3 linked regions of the Diceros bicornis minor genome follow. The protein of the gene in region 2 purifies or fractionates together with the protein of the main gene of each other region. This does not show direct contact. Links are inferred from orthologs where the notes say so. Each region holds a gene or a part of one and is shown on either strand. Other genes may lie near its edges.

Region 1 (7,484 bases), about 26 Mb from region 2:
CACCCTCTCCCGTATCCCTGAAGACTCACTCCTCTTTCCTTAGGGCACACAACAGCAGGCCTGGGTGAGGGGCAGAGAGTTCTCTGCTGTTCCTGGTTCCCCTCAATTTCTTTCAGTGCAGGAACTTGCCTATTTGGCAAGTGTTTGTTGAGTATCCCCAACATTTTTTTTTTTTATAAATTTTATTTTATTTATTCATTTTTTTTTGTGAGGAAGATCAGCCCTGAGCTAACATCCATGCCAATCCTCCTCTTTTTGCTGAGGAAGACTGGCCCTGAGCTAATATCCATGCCCATCTTCCCCTACTTTATGTGGGACGCCGCCACAGTATGGCCTGACAAGCGGTGCGTCGGTGCGCGCCTGGGATCCGAACCCGGGTGGCCAGCAGTGGAGCGCGTGCACTTAACTGCTACGCCATGGGGCCGGCCCCCTCCCCAACATTTCTGACTCTGACCTTAGCCTGAGGGGAAACAGAAGAAAAAGTAGAAGATGGTCCATCTCTGTCCTCATTGCAAGCGAGTTAGTAAGAGAGAGTGTCCCGAATGAGGGGCGGCAGGCCGGGACTTGGAGCAGTTTACTTCTGGGGCTCACCCCTCCTCCTTGGGGAATGGGAGCTGATCGACTTACCTGTGGGCTGGACTGGGCTGGATGCCAGCATTTGGCCTGATTTGCCTCTTGCAGTCCTGGGAATACAGGCAGAGGCCACTGCTTCCCTGAGGAGGCCTCTCCCTGGTATCTGCTTCTCTTCAGGCAAAAGGGGGCTCAAGGAGTGAGCTTTTCTTTATTTTTCTGAAACTGATCATGTCTGCTCCCCTCAGTGGGATTGAAGGACTGACTGAATCTGGCCCCTGCCTGGGCTCTGCCGGCCAGGTCGGAGGACCTCCCTGGGTCCTGGGCAGAGGCTTGCTCTGATCACTGTCCTATCCTCTGTGCCCTTGCCCAGAGGTGAGGGCAAGAGTGAGGCCCACCGTGCGAGCCAGTCTAGATGGTGACAGGGTCCCAGGAGGAGGCAGCCAGGTTCCTTAGCCGCAGCGTGGGAGGGAGACAAGCTTCATGACAACGCCTCCTTGCCCAGCACCTCCCAGCACGCTCCCTACTTTCTCTCCTTCCCTTTTCCAGGAGGGAGGGCGGGCAGCTGCCCCCTCCTTTCTGGGTGACCAGAGAAACTGGGGCATGGGCGTGGGGTAGGCCAGGAACCTCGGCATCCTGCCTCCCAGCCTTGGGCTTGGGCTCTGCCTCTGAGCCCCTGGGGAAGGCGAGCAGCCAGCCCTGAGGAGGGGAAAGTGGGTCAGTGGCAGCATGGGGCAGGGGTCGGGGAAGTAGATTCCTGGCGTCCCTTCTCCACTTAGATGTCGCTGGCGCACCTCTGTGTTCACTATAGATTGGGATCTGCTCTGCCCTCCTCTTCTCTGTTCCATCATTCCAAAGGGATTGAAGGCTTAGAATGGATGGTCAGAGGAGGCAGGGTCAACCCCGAGGGGATGTGGAAGATGCCAAAGGAGATGTTCACGTTTTTCCTGGACTTGGTTTCAAGTGAGAGAGTTCAGCCAGCACCTAGCATGAGACCTGGCACATGGCAGCTCCCAGGCAATGCTGACGGGCTCCAGCATGACTGGGCTCAAAGGGCAGGAGGGAGCCGGAGGGCAGGCAGGCCCCAGGGCAGCTGGCACTCCACACTTCATCTGGGGTGCTCCTGGGCCAGCTCTTGGCTTTTTTACTGTGCACAAAGCAGACGGGGCTTTCTTCCTTTCAATCAGGGCGCCCTCCAGCCTTTTGGGCCCAAGAAATGGGAGCCTGCAAGAGCTCAAGGAGCCAGCATTGGGTTCTCCTCCTCCAGGTTTAGAGGGTTAGGAGGCCTGCACCCAGCCTTCAAGGGAGGGAACAAGGTCAATGTGGTCTGGAGGGGTTAGTGCTGGCTCCGAAGGAGGCTCGTATACCCCATGCTTGGTAAGTGCTCTGTAAGGTTTGTGGGATGACACTTGGGAGAGCTGGATGAGTGGGCATGGAGAAGAGAAATGAACCATGAGGAGAGGGGCTATAAAGCAGGAAGGATTGAGGTTAGACTTTGGAACGATTGAGGTTGGACATATTTGCATCACTTGAATCTCAGAAGGAAAAAAGACACTTGTCCCCATCCCAGCCCTCCTCTCTTATTCCCCTGGAGGATTCTGGGAACTGCACCGTGGGTTGTCTGGCTGTGTCTGGCACTTTGCTTCCCACTTCAGGTCCGGACTTCATGAAGTCGGGACAGTGTTGAGAATTGCCCGGAGCCCTTGGCTCTGCACCCCTGGGTGTGCAGTCTCCTGGGTGCCCCTATCTTCCCTAAGCAAGGAGTTCTCTTTCCTTAGGTTTTTGGCTATTCCAGGTTCTGGGGGCCCTGCTTTTAAGTTGCTGTAGCTGATGACTTCCTTTCCTCCAGATCAGGGCTCCCCTACCGTACTCTCCTGTGCCTGGGGCAGGCAGAGAGAGCCAGGACAGGGCTAGCCAGCCCTTCTGGTTGCTCCCAGCGTGGGTGGGCGGAGTCCTGGGCTGGGAGGGGCTGCTGCCCCTGGCTTTCTGGGCTCCCTTGAGTCTGCTGCCCATCACCCCGCTGAGGGACATGGCCTTCCCTTCCCTTTCTCTTGAGAGAGAGCCTGGTTGGCCAGGTTGAGGTTGGGGCAGGGGGTGTTGAATCAGGTCCCCAGACGTGCCCTGAAGTGTCCACTAACACCAGAGGCCTGTGGGGAGCACTGCTCCATCACTGTTTTTCTAGAGTCTGCTGGCTGAGAAGCTGAGGATCCAGCTTTGTTTAGGTTCTGTTCCCCCCTCTCCCCTAATATACATCTTGCCAGCCAGTCTAGGGCCTGGGAAAGCCCACCTCTGCCACTTCCCCTCTCCATGTGCTCCCTCCACCTGAGGGCAAGGAGGCCCCTTTGCTGTCCCTGGCTGGCAGAAGCCCTCTGGGAAGATGGGCTCCAGGAGCCACAGCCACTGTGTCCTTGGTTGGCCAGCTCCTCCTGGGCTCCTGACAGGAGGGTGAGGTTATCCAGTCCAGGGAGAGGACAGGTGTCCCTGGCTCCATGCCTGGAGTTGGGGGCAAGGAGGGGCCAGGAGGTGCCTCCAAAATAGCAACTGTGACATCAGGAAGGGGGAGGGGAGACACAGACCCAGGAATAACCAGGCTATTAAAGGCTGCAGTGAGGTCAGGGGGCCAAGTGGGATCTCTGGACCAGTGGGAGGCACAACCTGAGGAGAAGAGATGGCCTAGAAGTGGGCAGTGTGGGTGGGCGTCACCAATCCTCATGGTGCAATAGCCTGAGGTCCCAGCAGGGCCCCACAAGCAAGGGCTCCTCTGCCAGGCTTGGGGCTGGTGGGAAAGAGCTGGATGCTGGCAGCCTCTTGACTCTATTCTTAAGGAGGCTCCAGCCTCAAGTCTGTACCTACTTGGGTATTGGGGGTCACTGTACCTGTTAATGGAAACCCTAGGGCAGTTTCATATACTCCCTTGTGCAGGAGGCAGTGGGCTGTGGTGGTTAGAGGTCAGACTTGAGCCTCAGACATCCCAGCCCTACCATTTAAGCAGCTGTATGACCTAGCATGAGTGACTTCATCTCTCTGTGCCTTGGTTTCCCCATCTGCACCTATCTACTGAGGTCATTGTGCAGAATAAATATGGTAATGTATGTACTGCTTTTAGCATTGCACCTGGCACATTGCCAGGGAAGAGCTAGCTGTGTTCTGAGAATGGGCAGGTGATCCCTGGTCCTCTTTCCCTGGGCGAGGGCGAGGCCTGTCCGGGAGGAGTCTCCCTGCCCACTGGAAAGAAGCCACACAGCCTGTGGAGGCACCACCTCTAATGGGTAGGAGGAAGCTGCCAATTAGCTACTGCTCTGGGGTCTCCCTGCTGGTTGCGAGGGCAGGGAGGCACCTTCCAGTTCTGAGGGAAGGCAGAAGTTAAATAAATTCCCTTCTGGCTGTTAGAAGGACTCCAGGGAAGATGCAAGGTTAGGCCAGGTGGCCCTGCCTGCCACCCTCTCCCAGACCCTTTTGGTTCCTTTACCTGCTCTGGATGGCGAGAGGGAAGATAGAGGATAGAATCTGGCTTTTTGGTCTCCATCCCCTTGCCTGCCAAGAGCAGGGCCAGAGCTGCTCCCAGACGCATGGGTATTCGGCAGTCCTCCCCCAGCCCAGCCTCTGGCCACCGGGCTCTGTGGCCTTGGCCCTGAGTGCAGGCCCTCCCCTGTTCCCATCCCCCTGCCTGGCGCTTCCTCCTGGGGTGGAACGCGCCTCCCCCCCCCCCATGGGGCCTCCGCCAGGCCCGGGCTCCTGGCAGCCGGCCGGCGGCTCCCTGAGCATGCTCCACCTATTTATAGACAGGGCCCTCCCCCAACTGCTATTTCAGTCTTCTGCCAGCTGCCGGCGGCTCATTCGGGAAGGAGGAGCAGGGAGCCGGGCCCAGAGCTGTCACCTAGGGCTGGGAGGGAACACAGAGAGCCCGCCTTGCCTGCTGAGCTCCCCTTCCTGTCCCGAGTGCTGAGCCATACCCCAGCTCCAGAGAGCTGGGGAAAGGCCGGTGGTCAGATGCCCCTCTAGAGGAGAGCTGGGCCTGTAGCTCCAGGGCCTCCCGGCTCCTCCTGCGGCAAGGAGTGCCCAGGCCGGATGAGGCACCTCCCCACAGTGCGGGTCCCCGCAGCAGTGGCCTGAGGGAGCCCCTGAGCAGTGAGGGCCCTGCCCCACCACCTTCCCTTTGGCCGACTCCCGCCTCCGGCGGCCCCCTCCCTGGCATGCTGCTGGTACCCAAGGCTCAGGGGCTTGTGGAGATGCTGCAGACCATCTATGAGACAGAATCCTGTTTCTCAGCAGATGGGATGTCAGGCCGGGAACCATCCTTGGAGATCCTGCCTCGGACCCCTCTACATGGCATCCCCGTGGCAGGTAAGTACCTCGGTGTCCTCACTTGCCCTCTGCCATTGGGCATCCTTGTCCCTGGGGCTGAGCATCTTGCTCCAAGCCTCGCCCAGATGGGGTCTTGCTGGATCTTTCTGGAGGGCTTTGTTCAGAATATGGGTGGTCAGGGGAGCCTTGCTCACTGAGTGGGCTTTCCTGCCCTCCCTGGCCCAGAACCTGCCCTCCTGCCATGCCTTCCAGCTGCACTGTGCTGCATCCCCTTGAGTCCCTTTGGCCTCCAGCAGGGTCAGCATCAGCTGCCGGGGGCTGTGTATTACTAGAGGATCCTGGCCTAGTTGGCATGGTGGTCAGAGGGGAGGAAGTGGGTCCTCTGCCTCTGGGCCGCCTACTCCCCAGGTCTGGGCAGAGGAAGAAGCCATAGCTGGAGGGTCCATAAGAATAAAGGCTACCCCAGCTCCTCTGGCTGGGTTCTTAGGGGCAGAGGATCGATACAGTGAATTCTGCAAGTCCCCACTCAGGAGTCCCCTGGGAATCAGACACCTGGGGAGCAGGCTTGATGCACTTGTGGTCAAGTTAGGCAGAGGCTGGCAAGTAGGATGTTGGGGGCCTGGCTGCCTTAGTTCCTAGCTCCCCCATATCTCTCCTTCCCCCAGGCCTTGGTTTCTTCCCATCAGATGAGGATGAAGGGATGTTACTGTGGCTCATACAGGCTTGAGGACCCCCTAGCCCTGCCACCTTTTCAGCAGGGACTTTTCTGGCTCTTTGCTGGGGGTGGGGTCCCCCAGAGCTGGGCCACTCCCTCCCAGGAACCTGTTGGCAGCATCAGGCCTTTTCTGGCACAGCCTCCCAACCAGGCCGGCACCACAAGATGCTTCCTCTAGGGAGGGGCCTGCTGGACCCATGCCTGTTTGGCCCCTCCTGGCAGTGGCTTGGCACTTGGGTGTGGGTGTCTATGTGTGTATGTATAGGGAGTTTTTGCCTCTGGATATGTGGGTGTGGGTCCCAAGCTTTGAACTGGAAGTTGGGAGCTGTGTGCCTATGCAGGTACCTGTGATTTGGCTCTGAGTTGTCCAGGGATAAGGTTGCAGCTGGACTGGGATGTGTCAGAGGATGAATGTTTTGGGAAGATTTGGAAAACCCTTGGAACAAGGCCGGCTGTCTGCCTGGGCAGGGATGCCCATGCAGTCTCCCAGGGGAGGGGCATAACCCTGGGGGCCAGTCTTGCAGGGCAACCACGCAGGCCGCTGGGATGGGGGCATAACCCTGGGAGTCAGTTGTGCAGGGTACCCACGCAGGCCCCTGGGAGGAGGTATAAGCACAGAGGGCTGGTCTAGCCCTGATCTAGTTGAGCCTGCAGCTCTAGCTAAAGACCCTGCCTGCTGACCCCTACCCCAAAACCTCTGGAGGTCAAGGTGGTCTCTTGGAAAGCAAAGGACCGACTGTGCAGAGCATTTGCTTGGGAGCAGCTCCACCCATCTGGCAGATGCCGTATCAGTCCACCCATCCTGCCCTGTCCCCCCCGTCCCTTGCCTCCGAGCAGTGGCTGGTGGTTGGCCTCCTCAGCATATTGTCTCACCTTCTTTCAAGTTAGACTCCAGAAACCTTGCAAGCTGGAACCCTGCTACCCCCATCCCTTCCCTAAGGCTGCCTGTCCCTGCATAGATCCCCCCAGCCAGTCTCTCTCTCCAGATCCTTTTTGCACCCCCCCGCCCCGCCCCATGTACACTGCCTAGCCTTCTGAGTGGTGGCGTGGTCCATACTGGCAGGAGGGAGGCGTGAGTCACCTCAGCGGCTCGGGGAGAGGGCTAAGAATGTTCCCCCTGCGCAGCTCTGATGCTGTGTCTCTGACGCGGCTGGGGACAGATATAGGCCTGGAGCTCGCCTGCCTTGTTTTTTTTTTTGGACTCTGGAATGTAAATAGATGTTTCAAATAGAAACGCTTTAACCTTTGGGTTAAAAAAAAATCCACCCCAGATAAACACGGCCATGAGGGCCCAGGCAGCCTGGTGTTCCCCCCACCCCCCACCTCCTCTCCCATCTCTTGATCAGTCTCCAGACAGGATGCAAAAGCCCATGGCTGAAAAAGCAGGTGGCCAGGGACGCCTCTTGGGCAGTGTGTGTCGCCTGGCCTTCTCAGCCCCAGGGTAGGGGCAAGGGGCTTTCCAGGGTGGCTGTCGACCCTGGGCTCTTTGATTACTCTAGCAGCAAGTCTTGGGAACCCTATTTTAGGGGCATCCTTTGCTTTCTGCTGTTCCCCAGCACTTAGCACAGTGCCTGGCACATGGATGAATGAATATTGCTTGAGGGGGCTGGCGTCCAGGGCTGATGGCAGGATTCCTGGGCTCTATTCTGGGGCTTGGCCCTCTGAGTGACTGGAGACAGCTATAGTGAGCTGCCCCAGCGGGGAGCCAGAGCCTTGGCAGGCGGAGCCCATGAGGGATGCAGGGCACTCTCTGCTGTTCCTGCCTGAGGAGAGGGACAAATCGCACCTGCCTAGTGTGATCAGAGGTCTTCCTTGACCAACGGGGTCTCTGCCTAGCTCCTTCAAAACAGCCCAGCATACAGTGGCTACTTCCCTCATCCAGGCCTGGTCCCGG
Region 2 (6,935 bases):
CGCTAAGCCAGGGGGCCAGCCCTATAAAGGATATTATAAAGAATGCAAATGAACAGTCAGATGAAGAAACACACAGAGTGAGCTTCTGTCCCTGTATGGTTTGGGATGTGCCACTCTCCTGGCATGGATGTGTTCACCAACCTGGAAGCCCTCTGAGCCCCGTTAAGTTTTTTACAGAGGTTCTTTTACCTAGGTATGATTAAGTCATTGGCCATTGGTGACTGACTCAATCTCCAGCCTCTCTCTCATCCCTGGAGGTCAGAAGTTGGGTGAGTGGGGTTGAAATTTCTAATCCTCTAATCACCTTTGATTCCTCTGGCAACCAGCCCCCATCCTGATGCTATCTAGGGGAACACCAAGAGTCACCTCATTAGCATAAACTCAGGTATGACTGAAAGATGCTTATTGTAAATAACAAACAAAACTCCTCACCCCTATCACTTGGGGAAATTACAAGAGTTTTAGGAGTTCTATTCCAGGAACCAAGGACAAAGACCAAATATGTTATTTCTTATTATTTCAGGATGTCACAGTGTTTTTCTAGGAATTTGTCCATTTCATTTGTTATCCAATTTATTGGCGTACCAGTGTTAAAAATACTCCCTTACAATCCATATTTCTCTTTCTTTCTTTTTTTTTTTGGTGAGGAAGATCAGACCTGAGCTAATGTCCATCGCCAATCCTCCTCTTTTTGCTAAGGAAGACTAGCCCTGAGCTAACCATCTTACTCTATTTTGTATATGGGATGCTGCCACAGCATGACTTGACAAGCATTGAGTAGGTCCGTGCCCGGGATCTGAACCTGTGAACTCTGGGACGCTGAAGTGGAGCGTGCAAACTTAACCACTATGCCACCAGGCTGGCCCTTAATCCATATTTCTGTAAGGTCGGTAGTAATGTCCCCACTTTCTTTTTTTTTTAGGAAGATTGGCCCTATGCTAACATCTGTTGCCAATCATCCTCTTTTTCCTTTTTTCTCCCCAAAGCCACAATACATAGTTGTGTATCATAGTTATAGAGTTGTAGCTCTTCTATATGGGACGCCACCTCAGCATAGCTTGATGAGTGGTGAGTAGGTCCGTGCCCAGGATCTGAACCGGCAAACCCCAGGCCACCAAAGCAGAAGGTGTGAACTTAACCGCTACCCCACCAGGCTGGCCCCAGCCCACTTTCATTTCTGATTTCAGTAATTTGACTCTTCTTTTTTTCTTAGTCAATCTTCTTTTTTTCTTAGTCAGTCTTCTTTTTTTCTTAGTCAATGTATCTAAAGGTTTTTCAATTTTGTTAATCTTTTTAAAAAACCAAATTTTGGTTTGTTGATTTTTTTTCTATGTTATTTATCTTCACTTTAATCTTTATTATTTCTTTCTGCTAGCTTTGGGTTTACTTTGTTCTGTTTGTAGTTCCTAAGGTGTACAGTTAGGTTACTAACTTGAGATCTTTCTTTCTTTTTTTTTTTTTGTGAGGAAGATCTGCCCTGAGGTAACATCTGCCAATCCTCCTCTTTTTGCTGAGGAAGACTGGCCCTGGGCTAACATCCATGCCCATCTTCCTCCACTTTATATGGGATGCTGCCACAGCATGGCTTGCCAAGCGGTGCGTCGGTGCGCACCCGGGATCTGAACCAGTGAACCCTGGGCCGCCGCAGCAGAGCATGCGCACTTAACTGCTTGCACCACCGGGTCAGCCCCGAGATCTTTCTTTTTTAATGTAAGCATTTACCACTATAAATTTCCTTCTTAGTACCATTTTTGCCACATCTCATAAGTTTTGGTATATTGTGTTTTTGTTTTTATTCATCTCAAGGTATTTTCTCACTTCCCTTGTGATTTCTTCTTTGACCCATCAGTTATTTAAGAATGTTATTTCATTTCCACATATATGTTAATTGTCCAGTTTTCCTTCTGTTATTGATTTTTAGCTTCATTCCATTGTGGTAGGACAAGATACTTCATATGATTTCAACTTTTAATATTTAAGACTTGTTTTATGGCGTAACATATGGTCTTCAGTTCCTTAACTTTACAGATGAACATGAAGCTCAGAGGTGAAATGACTTGCTGAAGGTCACACATTTATTTAGTTATAGAATTAGGACTAGAACCCAAGTTTTTGATTTTCAGTCTTTTACCATTGAAATTTAATATTTGTTACAAGTGTGAAGGGGCTTAGTTTGGAATGCAGTAAGGAGCCATCCAGTCTCCTCTGCTGGCTCTTCTGCTTTCACCTATCTCTTAAAAGTAGGTATTTTCCAAGGTTTTGTGTATGGTCCTCTTCTACCTCTACACACTCTCCAGCTGCTTCCACGGCAGCCTCCCTTCAGTTTGGAATGCCAGTCCACCTTTCCATTTCCACGCTGGTTATTTCTACCTGTGAGATCTTTGAGAACCTTAGAACCAACATGTGCTAAAAGGAACTCGTGTTTTCCTCTGCATTCCATCACCAAACTTTCCTAGTATTCCTACTTTTTGTTAATGGTATTGCCATTCAGTATCCCAGTGATTCAAGGTGGGAAGATGGAAAGTCAATTTTAATTTTTTGTCCCCTCACAAGATCTCTACATCTGATCAGCTACAAACTCTTCTGGCTTCCGTCTGCAGTACTTACTATTCCTGTTTGTCCTTTCCTTCCTATTTTCACTGCTACCGTCTATTACCTTTTGCCTGCATTATTGTAGTATAGCCTGAGAATTTATCCTCCTCTTTAATCACTGCTCTGTACAACATATTAGTTTTCTAAAGTATAACTATGATGGTGTCATCCTCCATGCAAAATCATCAAAAAATAGCTTGTGCCCACTGAATAAGGTGCAAACTTCTTAGCTTGCCATCCAAGGCTCTTCATAATTAGGTTCCAACCTACTTTTTATTCTACATTTACTGCAGACCCCACCACACAGCTTATGTTCTAGTTACCTGAGCTTCAGTCTTGCAACAGATATGGTATTGAGTACAAGGTGCTAGGAATCCATTGGGAAGCAAAACAGCTTCTTTCCTGTGTGAAGCAATTTCCCTTCCTGTCTCCTCAATCTTAATTTGATCTTCGTCTCACTCTTCTGCACCTTGCACTCCAGACCAGACTCCTTTTTTTTTTTTTTTTAAAGATTTTATTTATTCATTTTTTTCCCCCCAAAGCCCCAGGAGATAGTTGTATGTCATAGCTGCACATCCTTCTAGTTGCTGTACGTGGGACTCGGCCTCAGGTTGGACGGAGAAGTGGTGCCTTGGGGCGTGCCTGGGATCCGAACCTGGGCCGCCAGCATCAGAGCGCATGCACTTAACCGCTAAGCCACGGAGCCAGCCCCAGACCAGGCTCCTTGAACAACTTCCCTGTTCCTATCCATGGTGGGCCTAAGGGGAAAAAGAAAGCTAAAGGGCAGGAAAAAAAAAAGATGGCGAAGTGCGAGGGTGAAGTTGAGGTGTGAAAACTGGAGCCCCCTTCTCCCACCAACCATAGCAGGTCCCAACTCTTTACCTGGGGTCAAAAGGGTCTAAACAGGCCCAGGATGGGGCTTGGCTGAGAAAACAGGGCAAAGTAGGAGAGAGAGCAAGGTGGTTTCAGTGAGGAAGGCCTGCCATTACAAAAACAGTTACAGCCTCCGGCTTTCTCTGCCCCCAGTCAGGCGTCCGCCCTCGCTCAGGGCCCAGGCTCTCTCGCTCACTCTCTTCAGGAGCTGTCCAAGCCAGCCTCGCCTCTGGCGTCCCTCGCTCCCTCGGGGCTGCTCTCCCTCTCCGCAATCGCAGTTCCCGCCTCAGCCCTCTGGCGCCCGCTGAGCCCACGGAGGAGGGGCGTCTTGCTGGTTCCAGTCTCTTAGGGCGCCGAGCTCCCGGACCCGCCCCCCGCGCCAGTTGCCAGGGAGCGGTTGCCATAGAGCTGAGCAGTTGTCCGCGTGCGCAGGCGGAAGTCCCGGATTGAGGCGCCGCCATTTTTGCTGCCCGGACGCGGAGCGAGAGGCTGAGAGAGTCGGAGACGCTATCCGCTTCCATCCGTCGCGCAGACCCTGCCGGAGCCGCTGCCGCTATGGATGATCGGGAGGATCTGGTGTACCAGGCGAAGCTGGCCGAGCAGGCTGAGCGATACGACGGTGAGTTGGGGGGGCAACGGGGGGCTGGAATTCTCGGACCCTCTGCCGCCGCCCACAGAGGCCAGGAGCAGGAGACAAAATGGCGGCGTCGTCTCCGAGCCTGGCCCGGGGATGTGGATTCGGGAAGCAGGAAATGGCCTGTGGGCTCCCGGAGCGGTGGGAGGCTCCAGGCCCAGGAATGTGACCCCTTCGGCGTCCTCAGCTGCAGACACTCTCGAGCCAGGAGGCCGAGGCCATAGGGTGGAGGAGTTGGTTGTAAAATGGCGGCTTGGGGGAGGGCGAGTCCCGGGGCGGGGGAGGGGGAGGAGATGGCGGGTGCTGTCTCCGGGCGAGCAGTCCTCAGGGGAGCTTCTGGGCTAGTCTTGGGATGTGGAAAACAATTGGGTGGGGAGATGGAAGAAGAAACACTCGCCACATGGGGGAGAGTGGCGACCGGGAGCTGTAGCGCGGGCGCCTTTCAGGGAAATATGGCGGGTGGGGGCGGTGGCTTTTCTCTGGAGGCCCAATGTGGGGCGGCGGCTGTGGAGTCTCACAAAGGAGAACCTTTGCGAGCAGAGGGGTTCCTTGGGCTTGTGGTGGGGGGCAGTCTTGGAGGAGGGTGGGGTAAGGGGAGAGTGGGAATCACTGCACTTCATCCTTGGGCGGAGGCCAGCTGAGATGCTGCGATCGGATTTCTTTCCCGTAGGCCGGCACACCTTGGAGTGAGGGGCTTTTAGGCTTTACGTTCAACCTCGCCGTCTTTTGGCGGAGGTCTGGAAGGACCTCACTCACGCTCCCTTTCTTCGGACTCATCCCGGAGAGCTCGAAGGTCCTGTAATCATTTTCTGGCTCCATAAGCTGTGGATTCTGGTGGATAGAACGCTGAACAGGAAACAAGGAGACCATGACTTCTGGTCCCTTTCCCATGCTTGTGCCTCAGTCTGCCAGTTTGTAAAAATGATGACTTTCCTGTTTACACGCACCGTTATGACAATGGAAAGACCTGTTGAAAAATAAAGTTATTTCAGATAACGTTGAGTAACTGTATTTTGGTTGTCACCCGTCTGGGAGTGCCCGTTCATTGGGGATCTTAACCAATCCCACGCCCTCAGTTGAGGCTTGGGTTTTTGGATTATGAACGTAGGGGATCCCAGCAGATCCTATTTTCTTTTTTCCATTTTAAATAAGAGATTTGAGGTACAGATTTGAACAGTTTTTCTTTGCTCCTTTGCCCCAGAGGTTCTTTAGTCATTTTTGAGAACTTTATCTCAATGTGTGTAGTGTCTGTTTAGTCAGTCCCAGGCTGCTTTGTTTAATTGCTCCTCCCCCCATTTTGGACCTAGGTACTTGAATTACTTCCACATCCTTTAAACTGTAGTATTATAAAAACAAGAAATCATGTATGTGCTTCTGTGGTTTTAATGCTGTTGTAGGGTGAGACATAGTTGGAATCAAATGCTATAGATCTTTAGACTTCTTTTAATTACCTAAGCTTCTTTTTAAAAATGTTATGTAGGGCTTTTTCCTTGATGCCAGTTTGGTCATATGAATAGCCTCAGGGCTGGTCTCTGTATCATCATACATTAGGATTCAGGAATTTGAAAATTAAGAGAAAAGACCTCGAACTGAAACCTAGGAAAGGTACTGTACTAAATTTCATTTTGTAAATCCTTAAATTACTCTTTGTATTGAACAAGGTTCCTGTGGGCAGGGGGAGGGGAATAAGATGGGGAAGTACAGCTCAAGGTCAGATTTGTCTTTATTTCAGTGTTTAGAAGTCAAACAAATGCTCATAATGGAAGTTTTTTTTCTTCTTCCCCATCATGCCCCAAATAGGTTCACCTCTTAATCTATCAGTGCCCTTGGGAGGAAACATGAAATTATATTTGAGTGCTTTCTGTTTTGTAGAATTTTAGCCTTTTAGTAAACTTGCTGTGATAACCAAAAAGGGCGTAGAGGAAGGTTTTTTTTTTTTTTTTAAACTTGTTTTAAAAACCGACTTGGAAGCTCATGATTGTAGCTCCCAAATAGGTGACAGTTTAGTGATAATCATATTTTGGTGTTGAGTGCTGAGGCTTTTTGACCAAAGCCTTCATTATTTAACATAGGACTCTTTAGATAAAGCCATTTCGTTACGTTGTGTAAACGTTAGGTGTCTCCTTAAGGATCTGCCAGGTGGGAAGGAACTCCAGTGACTGTTGGGCATGAGATAGGGATTCACTGGAAAGGAAGAAGAGGAAGACACTCCTCAGGAATCAGCCACTGCCTGTGTCAACTCCTTTATTGGGTGCAATAATTCATTTTTGTTTGTGCCAAGTGATCCCATAGTTTTAGTCACCAAACAATTTATCAGGTGTGGGGAATGGAAGAAGGTGAGAGTGCATTTGAATGATTTGGTTTTGTATAAATGCTGGCTTTTCTCTTTGTTCCTGCAGTACCTTTATCTTTTGTTTTGCATGGTATGTTGAACCTTATTTGTATTGTTTAACTCTATTCTGGGGAATTGGAATCAATTTATGTGGATTATTTAATGGTACTGGAGGAAGAGTTAAGCTCTGTTCAGGAAAAGGACAGTTTGAGGTGGTGGATGGGATATATTGAAGTTTGAGGCTAGGAGTTCACCCTTAACAAGTCAGTAGATTAAGGAATAGTTTTTGTATCATCCGTAGCCATATTAAGGAAGTCCCATCACCTTTAAGCAGTCCTGAACTAAGTCTTAACCTTCCCATATATCTGAATCACATTAATACAGAAAAGTTGGGAATATAGCAGGAAAAAAGATGAGTACTTTTCACATTTTTTGAGAGTAGAGGGGTAGCATAAACTCTATTTGGGTTTGTGGAGTAGTTGCTCGTTTTGTCCTTTCCTCCCC
Region 3 (7,279 bases), about 30 Mb from region 2:
TTTCCTCTTTTCGCTTGAGGAAGATTATCCCTGAGCTAACATCTGTGCCAATCTTCCTCTATTTTCTATGTGGGATGCCGCCACAGCATGGCTTGCTGACTGGTGTGTAGGTCCACGCCCAGGATGGGAACCCTCGAACCCTGGGCCTCCGAAGCAGAGCACACAAACTTAACCACTATGCCACGGGGCTGGCCCCCAGTCAGTGGTTCTTTTTTTTTTTTTTTTTTTAATTTATTTTTTTCCCCAAAGCCCCAGTAGATAGTTGTATGTCATAGCCGCACATCCTTCTAGTTGCTGTATGTGGGACGCGGCCTCAGCACGGCCCGAGAAGCGGTGCATCGGGGCGCGCCCGGGATCCGGACAGGGGCCACCAGTAGCTGAGCACGCGCACTTAACCGCTAAGCCACGGGGCCGGCCCTAGTCAGTGGTTCTTAAACCAGCTTGCCTAATATACTGCAGCCACCAAATGAGAAGACACTGAGTTTCTGGTCCTTTTTTCTTTGGGGATCTAGATCCTACCTACATAGTTCCTTTCCTCCCCATCACCGTCTCTCCATATACTCACATATTTAAATTTTTTGAAAATGTCTTGAAATGTGAAAACAGGCTGACATCTATTTTCATGTTAGACTATGAAATGTAGCCAACACATCTGGGCACTCTAACTAGTTTAGCAGTCAAGAAAGTGGGGGAGGGGGGAGTGCCGGCCAGCCCTGTGGCTTAGTGGTTAAGTGCGCTCGCTCTGCTACTGGCAGCCAGGGTTCAGATGCCAGGCGCACACGGACACACCGCTTCTCTGGCCATGCTGAGGCCGTGTCCCACATACAGCAACTAGAAGGATGTGCAACTATGACGTACAACTATCTACTGGGGCTCTGGGGAAAAAAAAGGAGGAGGACTGGCAATAGATGTTAGCTCAGAGCCGGTCTTCCTCAGCAAAAAGAGGAGGATTAGCATGGATGTTAGCTCAGGGCTGATCTTCCTCAAGAAGGAAAGAAAGAAAGAAAGAAAGTGGGGAGTGGGAGGTCTGCACACCGCCAAGTATTTCACACCCCCTTTGGGGCTTAAGACTACCCCCACAATTCAAAGATTTAGTTCAATCACCAAATTCTAGAACACAAGATAAATGTTTGAAGCCTGGGGAGGACAAGAAGAATTATGCACCCCATTTATAGTAAATGTTCAATAAGTATTTGTTCAATTACGTAGTTAAATACAAAGCCTTACTAGGTTCCTTTTTTGCCTACTGTCATAGGAGACTTTCCAAAGAGGAGCAAGCACTTCTGAGGTAAGGGAACGAAACAGTAAGCCCAGCAAATGAACAAACCCATCCCTTACTGAATGAGGGGCAGCATGGAATAGAACAAGGCAGTTCATTCAAAGCCAGAGTGTACAGACAGGCTGCAAAAGAATATCTGCCCAATGTGACACAGCATACACTTAACCCCCTACAAAAATGACTTGACCTTGCTATAGGGCAAAGCAAATATTAATGTTCTCTCTTCACATGGGGCACTTCACAGATGCAATGAATGGCTTTGCAAAGGATCCCTTCACTGAAGTTTACCCCTTTATTATTTAGGATAATACCAAATACTTTGCAAAACTTGTGATTGCGGACAAGAGTATCACAATAACTGATTCAACAAGAGAAGCAAAATACATCTAAAATGTTATTTGCTTCTTAATCTAGTCCAACAGGCATTTGCTAAGTTACCAAAAAGGACATGAAATACAATTCAGTTCAAATGCTGCGTGCGGAAGACATTAAAAGCCTTTCTTAGATTACATCTTCACAACAGAAATTGCAAATATTGATAAAAAGGAAATGATTTCATAGAGACTCTTTTGTGTAGCGAATGCTGCTCTCTTTCAAAAGTTACATAATTTCAGGGATACCGCAAGATAAAAATAATGGATGTAAAACACTGCAACCGGATTTTCAAAAAGCAGGATGTGAATTATAACTGGCAGCCCCCGACCAATTCCTAACCTCCAGCAATCTGCGTGCAGCTCGCATTTCTCAACCGTGCTGTTGATAACAGTGATTGCCGTTTTAATCACCTCGCAGCCTATCTCCCGCACGCCCTCCCCTCTGCTCCCGGGCGCGCACAGGGCTCGAGAGCGAGCCCCGGGAACTCTCGCAGGCCGGCCAGTGTGAGCAAAGGGAAGGAAATGACACAGGCAGGAAAAAAAAGCAAATCAAGGAAAAGACACAACAGCAGCTGGGCCTGCACCAGCCTCCAGCCCGGGCCCCACACTGCGCTCTCGCTCCCCCGCCCTCGGGCTCGCGGGCCGGCTCGCTCGGGCCGGAGCGGGCTGCCCCGCCGAGCACGGGCCCTCGACCCGGCCGCCGCTTCCTCGGGACGCGCCCGCCGCGCGGCCCGGAAGGAGGCTGCCGAGGGGGCTCCGCCGGCCGGGACCGCCCCGGCGGGCCGGGGGCGCCAGAACCCCCACCCGGGCCGCGGAGCCGCGAGCGGGGCGGGCGGGCGCGGCGGTCTGCAGCCCCGGCCGGGCGGGCTGTCCATGCCTGTCAGGCGGCGGCCCAGGGTCCTCCTCCCCTCAGCCCGGGGCGGGGCGACGCGAAGCAGCGCGGGCACAGGCCGGGGCGGTGGCGACACTCACCCATGGTGGCGATGGCGGCGGCGGCGGCTTGGGCCCGAGTGTCACCTGCGCAGCCAGGGCTGCATGCCGGGGGCCCGGGCGGCGGGGACGGCAGCGGCCCTGGCTCCGCGCGGGGGGCGCGGGCTGCGCTCGGGGCCCCCGCCGCCTCCCCAGGCTCCGGCTCCGGCTCCGCCCGCGGCCGGGCGCTGTGGCATGGGCAGGGTGGCCCGCTACATCCCTGGCGCTCCTCGGCTCGGCCCAGCCCGGCTTCGGCGGCGCCGCTCAACCCGCCCGCCCGGCAGTCCCTCAGTCTCGCAGTCTCTCCGTCCGGCCACCGTTCTCCACCTCAGGAACGCTCCGAAAAACAAACCGCTGGTCGCGCAGCTCGCCCCCTTGTCTGTCACTCACCCCAGCACCCACCAATCCCAGGGAGTCGCTGGACCTTCGTACCACCCCTACTCACTTCAACAGCCAATAAGAAGAAGGAAGCCGCTGCTCCCACCGCCCCCCCCCCGCTCCCTCCCCAACTCGCTCTCAGCCGCCAGCTAATCACCAGCACCACACGATGAACCATTCCCGCCTACTCTCACAGGATGCCAATGAGTGAAGCCACGGCTGTTTCTGAGGGCTGTCTACCGCCTGCCAATCATCGGAACAGCGCCTGGTTCACTCCGCTGCTAGCCAATCACGTAGAGGCCTCTGAGCACCCGCCTCTGCGCATCCCCCGGGTCTTGGCTGCCCTCTCTCCCCGGAGGTGTTGGTTACTCCAATCACAGCTCGCGCGTGAAGCTCCGCCCACATCCCCACCTCCCGTCAGTCACCGAAGGTTCGGCGGGCGCGCGGGCTGGCGCGGTTCCCCGCCGGCTACTTTGGGCCAGGAGTTTGTGACGGGGGCTGAAGGGGCCCCCTGGCCTCTCGCCCTCCTGGCTCTCGGCGGTCCCTGAAGCCAGCGTCCTGCCCTTCCCAGTGCCCACACCGGGCGCGTAGTAAGCGGAGAGCGTTCTGGCTCTGAGCGCTTCCCGGCGTGTGTCCACCTCTGCCACCGGATCCCCTGGCAAGTCCGCAGCTCCGGTCCAGACGCTGTGCTTGCCCGGAGGCAGGGGCGGCCTCACCACTGCCCGCCTTTTCCTGGGTCTCATACCTCCGAGGCCACACCCTCCGAGGGGCTGGGGTAGTGCTGGAATGTGGGTCCTTGGAAATATGGGAGTTCCGCTGCTGGCCTGGGCCGAAACCAGTAAGTGGCAAAATCAGAGCGGTTCTTTCGGGAAAAAAAAAACTTTTTTTTCTGGTTATAAAAGCAATACAAGCTCTTTGTATTAAAATTGAAAAAGATACTTAAATAAAAATCCCACCCCAGAAATAATTTTATCTTTTTCCTACCTAGATATACAACGTTTGACAAAGATGTCTTCATATTGGTTTGTAGTGTGCTTACATTTTAAGTGTTTTCCTGTGCTACTGAATATTGTTCCAAATCAATTGTACTGGCTGCATGATATTTCAAAATAGAGAGTGAACATAATTAATTTCCCCATTGTTCAACATTTTATACACTCAGATCTTCAGATTCCAAGTCCACCACAATTAATATGGGCTCCCTTCCTCTGGTCCCTGTTCAAGTGTATTATAAATTAGATGCCAGAATAATCTTCCTCAGATGCCATTTTCAACTATCAACTAAGAACATTTAGTGCTGGCTTTGCCTTGGGTGTTGAATCTCTCAAGAATTACCTTAGACTCCCATATTTACAACCCCCACCCCCAATATTTAATCAGGCCTCTTATCCTGTTAGGTTTTTTTTTCTCCAACAAGCTTTTAAGTCCATCATTTTCACTCTTGATTAGATCCCTACCCAGTTTATTGTAGTTCTTTAACTATAATAATCTCTCTTTTCTGGGAAGGGGAGATAAAGGGGAAAGAAAAGTAATATTTATCAGTCATTTACTATATGCCAGGTACATCATCTCATTTAACCTTTTCAATAACCCTGATGTAAGTGATACTATTGGCATTTAAATGATGAAAGTGAAGCTCAGAGAAGTACCATGTCCAAGTGGTAGAGCCAGGATTCCTACCAGGTCCATCTGACACCCAAAGGCCATGTTCTTTCACTAGGCTAGTGTTTCTTGACTGTTTTTTCATTATCACCCCCTAAGGAGAAAATTTTAAATTACTTAAATTCTCCCTAATGAGAGAAATTAAATACTAAGGAATAAGATTTTGTCAGGTAGGGTTGAGCTTTGAAGGCCACATACCACTGTATTATCTGATTTTTTTTCACCCCTTAAGAATCATTTTTCACCTGTTGGGGATATCACCCTGGTGAGAATGCATGTAATAGGCCAGTGCTGGAGGTCACAATCTGCCAATCTGAGGCTCAGATCTGACCCTTAATTTTATTGACCTGTGAGATAAATATTAAAAAGAGACACATTTATGCCAGTGGAAATCTGTACCCACTCCTTTGCCTGTATCCAGAGGTCTATTCAGCAGCTTCTCTTGGAATGTCTAAAACATGTCTCCAATTTAACATGTTTTACACTGAACTCTTGATTCCTTCCCCCCTTCCCAAAAAACCCTGCTCCTCTATCTTCCCAACTGTTACAATACAAACCTAGGAGGAATATTCCTTGATTTCACTCTTTCTCTAACACCCCTATATCCAATCATTCAGCAAGTCTTTTCAGCTTGCTTCAAATCGTATCTGAATCGAACCACTTCTTACCACTACCACCCTAGTCCTGGCTGCCACCCTCTCTCCTGGATGACTGCCTTACCCTCTTAATTGGTCTCATTTCCTCTGTGATCACCCAACAAATGGTTCTCCACAGAGCAGCCAGAGTGATCCTTGTAAAATGTAATTCAGATAATGTCACTCCCCTGCTGTCAAGTCTCCAATGGCTTCCCATCACACTTGGAATAAAACCCAAACTTTGTCGTGGCCTTCCAGGCCCAACAGGAGCTGGCCCCTGCCATCCTCTCCTGTCCCATGTCTACCACTGGCCTTCTTACCATACTTTGAACCTACCAAGTTCAGGACCTTTCACCTCAGGTCCTTTGCACTTGCCATTTGTTCTGCCTGGAATGCTCTTCCTCAAGATGTTCCCATGGCTAATTCCTACATTTCATTCAGGTCTCTGCTCAAACATCAACTACTTAACAGTTCCTAACCACCCCATCCAAAATAGTTTCTCTCTCCTCCGTCATTCTGTATCCCCATATTCTGCCTTATTTTTCTTCATAGTGCCTGTAATTATATATTTGCTTATTTGTCTTCTCTCCACCTACAATGAACATAAGCTATGTAGGAGCAGGGACTTGGTCCTGTTCACTGCTCTATCACCAACACTTAGAATAGTGCCTGGTATATAGTAGAGAACTGCCATACAACTACTAAGCCATAGCTGAAAAGAGCCTTCTGATTTTCCTTCTACTGTTCTAGTAACTGCTTTTTTTGAGGGCTTCATTTCCATTGTCTGTCCCTTAACCAGCCGTCTCAGACATTCTCACACTGCACTTAGCATACTGGACTATCTTCCGAACTCTAGAGGCGTCACTCCTTGCGTATCTATCCCATAGGCACTTTGGACTCCACAGGTCCAAACTGAATTCATCATCTTCCTCCATAGTTCTCTATTTCCTCTCTCCATCTTCAGTTCCCCAAGTTGGATGCCTTCGAGTTGTCTAACTTGGAGAGCTCTTCCTCTCCATTTCCCTTCCCCCAGAGCTAATCTAGACCATGTCTCCAATCTGTCCACTCCTCTCCTGTCCCCAGCTCCACCATCCTAGTTCAAACCACCAAAATCTCTTACTTGGATTAGTGTAACAGCCTCCCAATGTGTGCTTACATCACAGGGTGATCTTTTCAAAACAGACACCTGATCTTGTCATGCTCTGCTTAAAAACTTTATAGTTTCCCATCGCCCTTAGGATAAGTCAAATACAGGAATGTAGCTAAGAAGGCCCTTCAGGAGCCAGGCCATTCTCCAGCCACAAGTTTTTCATTTTCCCACCTCCCCAACCCTATCATTCAAATTCTATATTCTGGCCACACAGAACCACTGGCAATTCCTCAAATATGACTCTCTCCCGCCTCTACACCTCTGCATGTGCTATTTTTCTCTGTTTCAAACTCTCTTTTCCTGCACTCTTGCCTCCACCCCCGTTCTGTCAGGGAAGAACTAAGCATAAACATCACTCTCTCCAGGAAACCTTTCTAGGCAGATACCCCCAAATCTGGGTACCAGAGCACCTGGTACTTTCTTGATCAAAGTACTTGTCCTACTCTAATGTGATTGCCTTTAAGAAAGTAAACACAGAGACAGAAGCTGTGTCATTCAAATTGGTATGTCTAGCATCTTTCATAACACATTCAAAAAACAAGTATTTGTTGAATAAATGAACCTCAAATGGGGATGCTAGTAATTGAATATAATTTCCACAAGTGTGCCCTTTTAGCTATATATTTTATCTGCTCTTTCTATGTTGTTTCTCCCCTCACTCTTCATTTTCCCCATGTGAAGGCTCCCAGCTAGGCCATGCCTTCTCAATTCTGTTCCCCTGGTTTTACACTGAGTAGATGCCCTTGGTTAAGCACCTGAGCCATATCTGACCCCAAAGATCACAACCTACCCTTAGTGCTCAGGACCTCAGAAAATGCTGGTCCCGTTAGGC

The links. The genes of interacting proteins can lie anywhere in the genome.
Region 1: the proteins of YWHAE (region 2) and HDAC5 purify together in Homo sapiens (affinity purification with western blotting; 7 studies listed by BioGRID and IntAct, with this or other methods). This does not show direct contact. The link is inferred for Diceros bicornis minor from reciprocal best matches to the Homo sapiens genes YWHAE and HDAC5.
Region 3: the proteins of YWHAE (region 2) and MAP3K3 purify together in Homo sapiens (affinity purification with mass spectrometry; 7 studies listed by BioGRID and IntAct, with this or other methods). This does not show direct contact. The link is inferred for Diceros bicornis minor from reciprocal best matches to the Homo sapiens genes YWHAE and MAP3K3.

Annotation. Positions count from the first base shown.
Region 1 is NC_080757.1:42,737,350-42,744,833, reverse strand, and holds the start of HDAC5 (histone deacetylase 5), read left to right. Parts: upstream 1-4,468; 5' UTR 4,469-4,763; coding exon 4,764-4,914; intron 4,915-7,484. UniProt on the Homo sapiens protein: Responsible for the deacetylation of lysine residues on the N-terminal part of the core histones (H2A, H2B, H3 and H4).
Region 2 is NC_080757.1:16,308,194-16,315,128, forward strand, and holds the start of YWHAE (14-3-3 protein epsilon), read left to right. Parts: upstream 1-3,929; 5' UTR 3,930-4,020; coding exon 4,021-4,084; intron 4,085-6,935. UniProt on the Homo sapiens protein: Adapter protein implicated in the regulation of a large spectrum of both general and specialized signaling pathways. Binds to a large number of partners, usually by recognition of a phosphoserine or phosphothreonine motif.
Region 3 is NC_080757.1:46,479,131-46,486,409, reverse strand, and holds the start of MAP3K3 (mitogen-activated protein kinase kinase kinase 3), read right to left. Parts: upstream 3,017-7,279; 5' UTR 2,630-3,016; coding exon 2,626-2,629; intron 1-2,625. UniProt on the Homo sapiens protein: Component of a protein kinase signal transduction cascade. Mediates activation of the NF-kappa-B, AP1 and DDIT3 transcriptional regulators.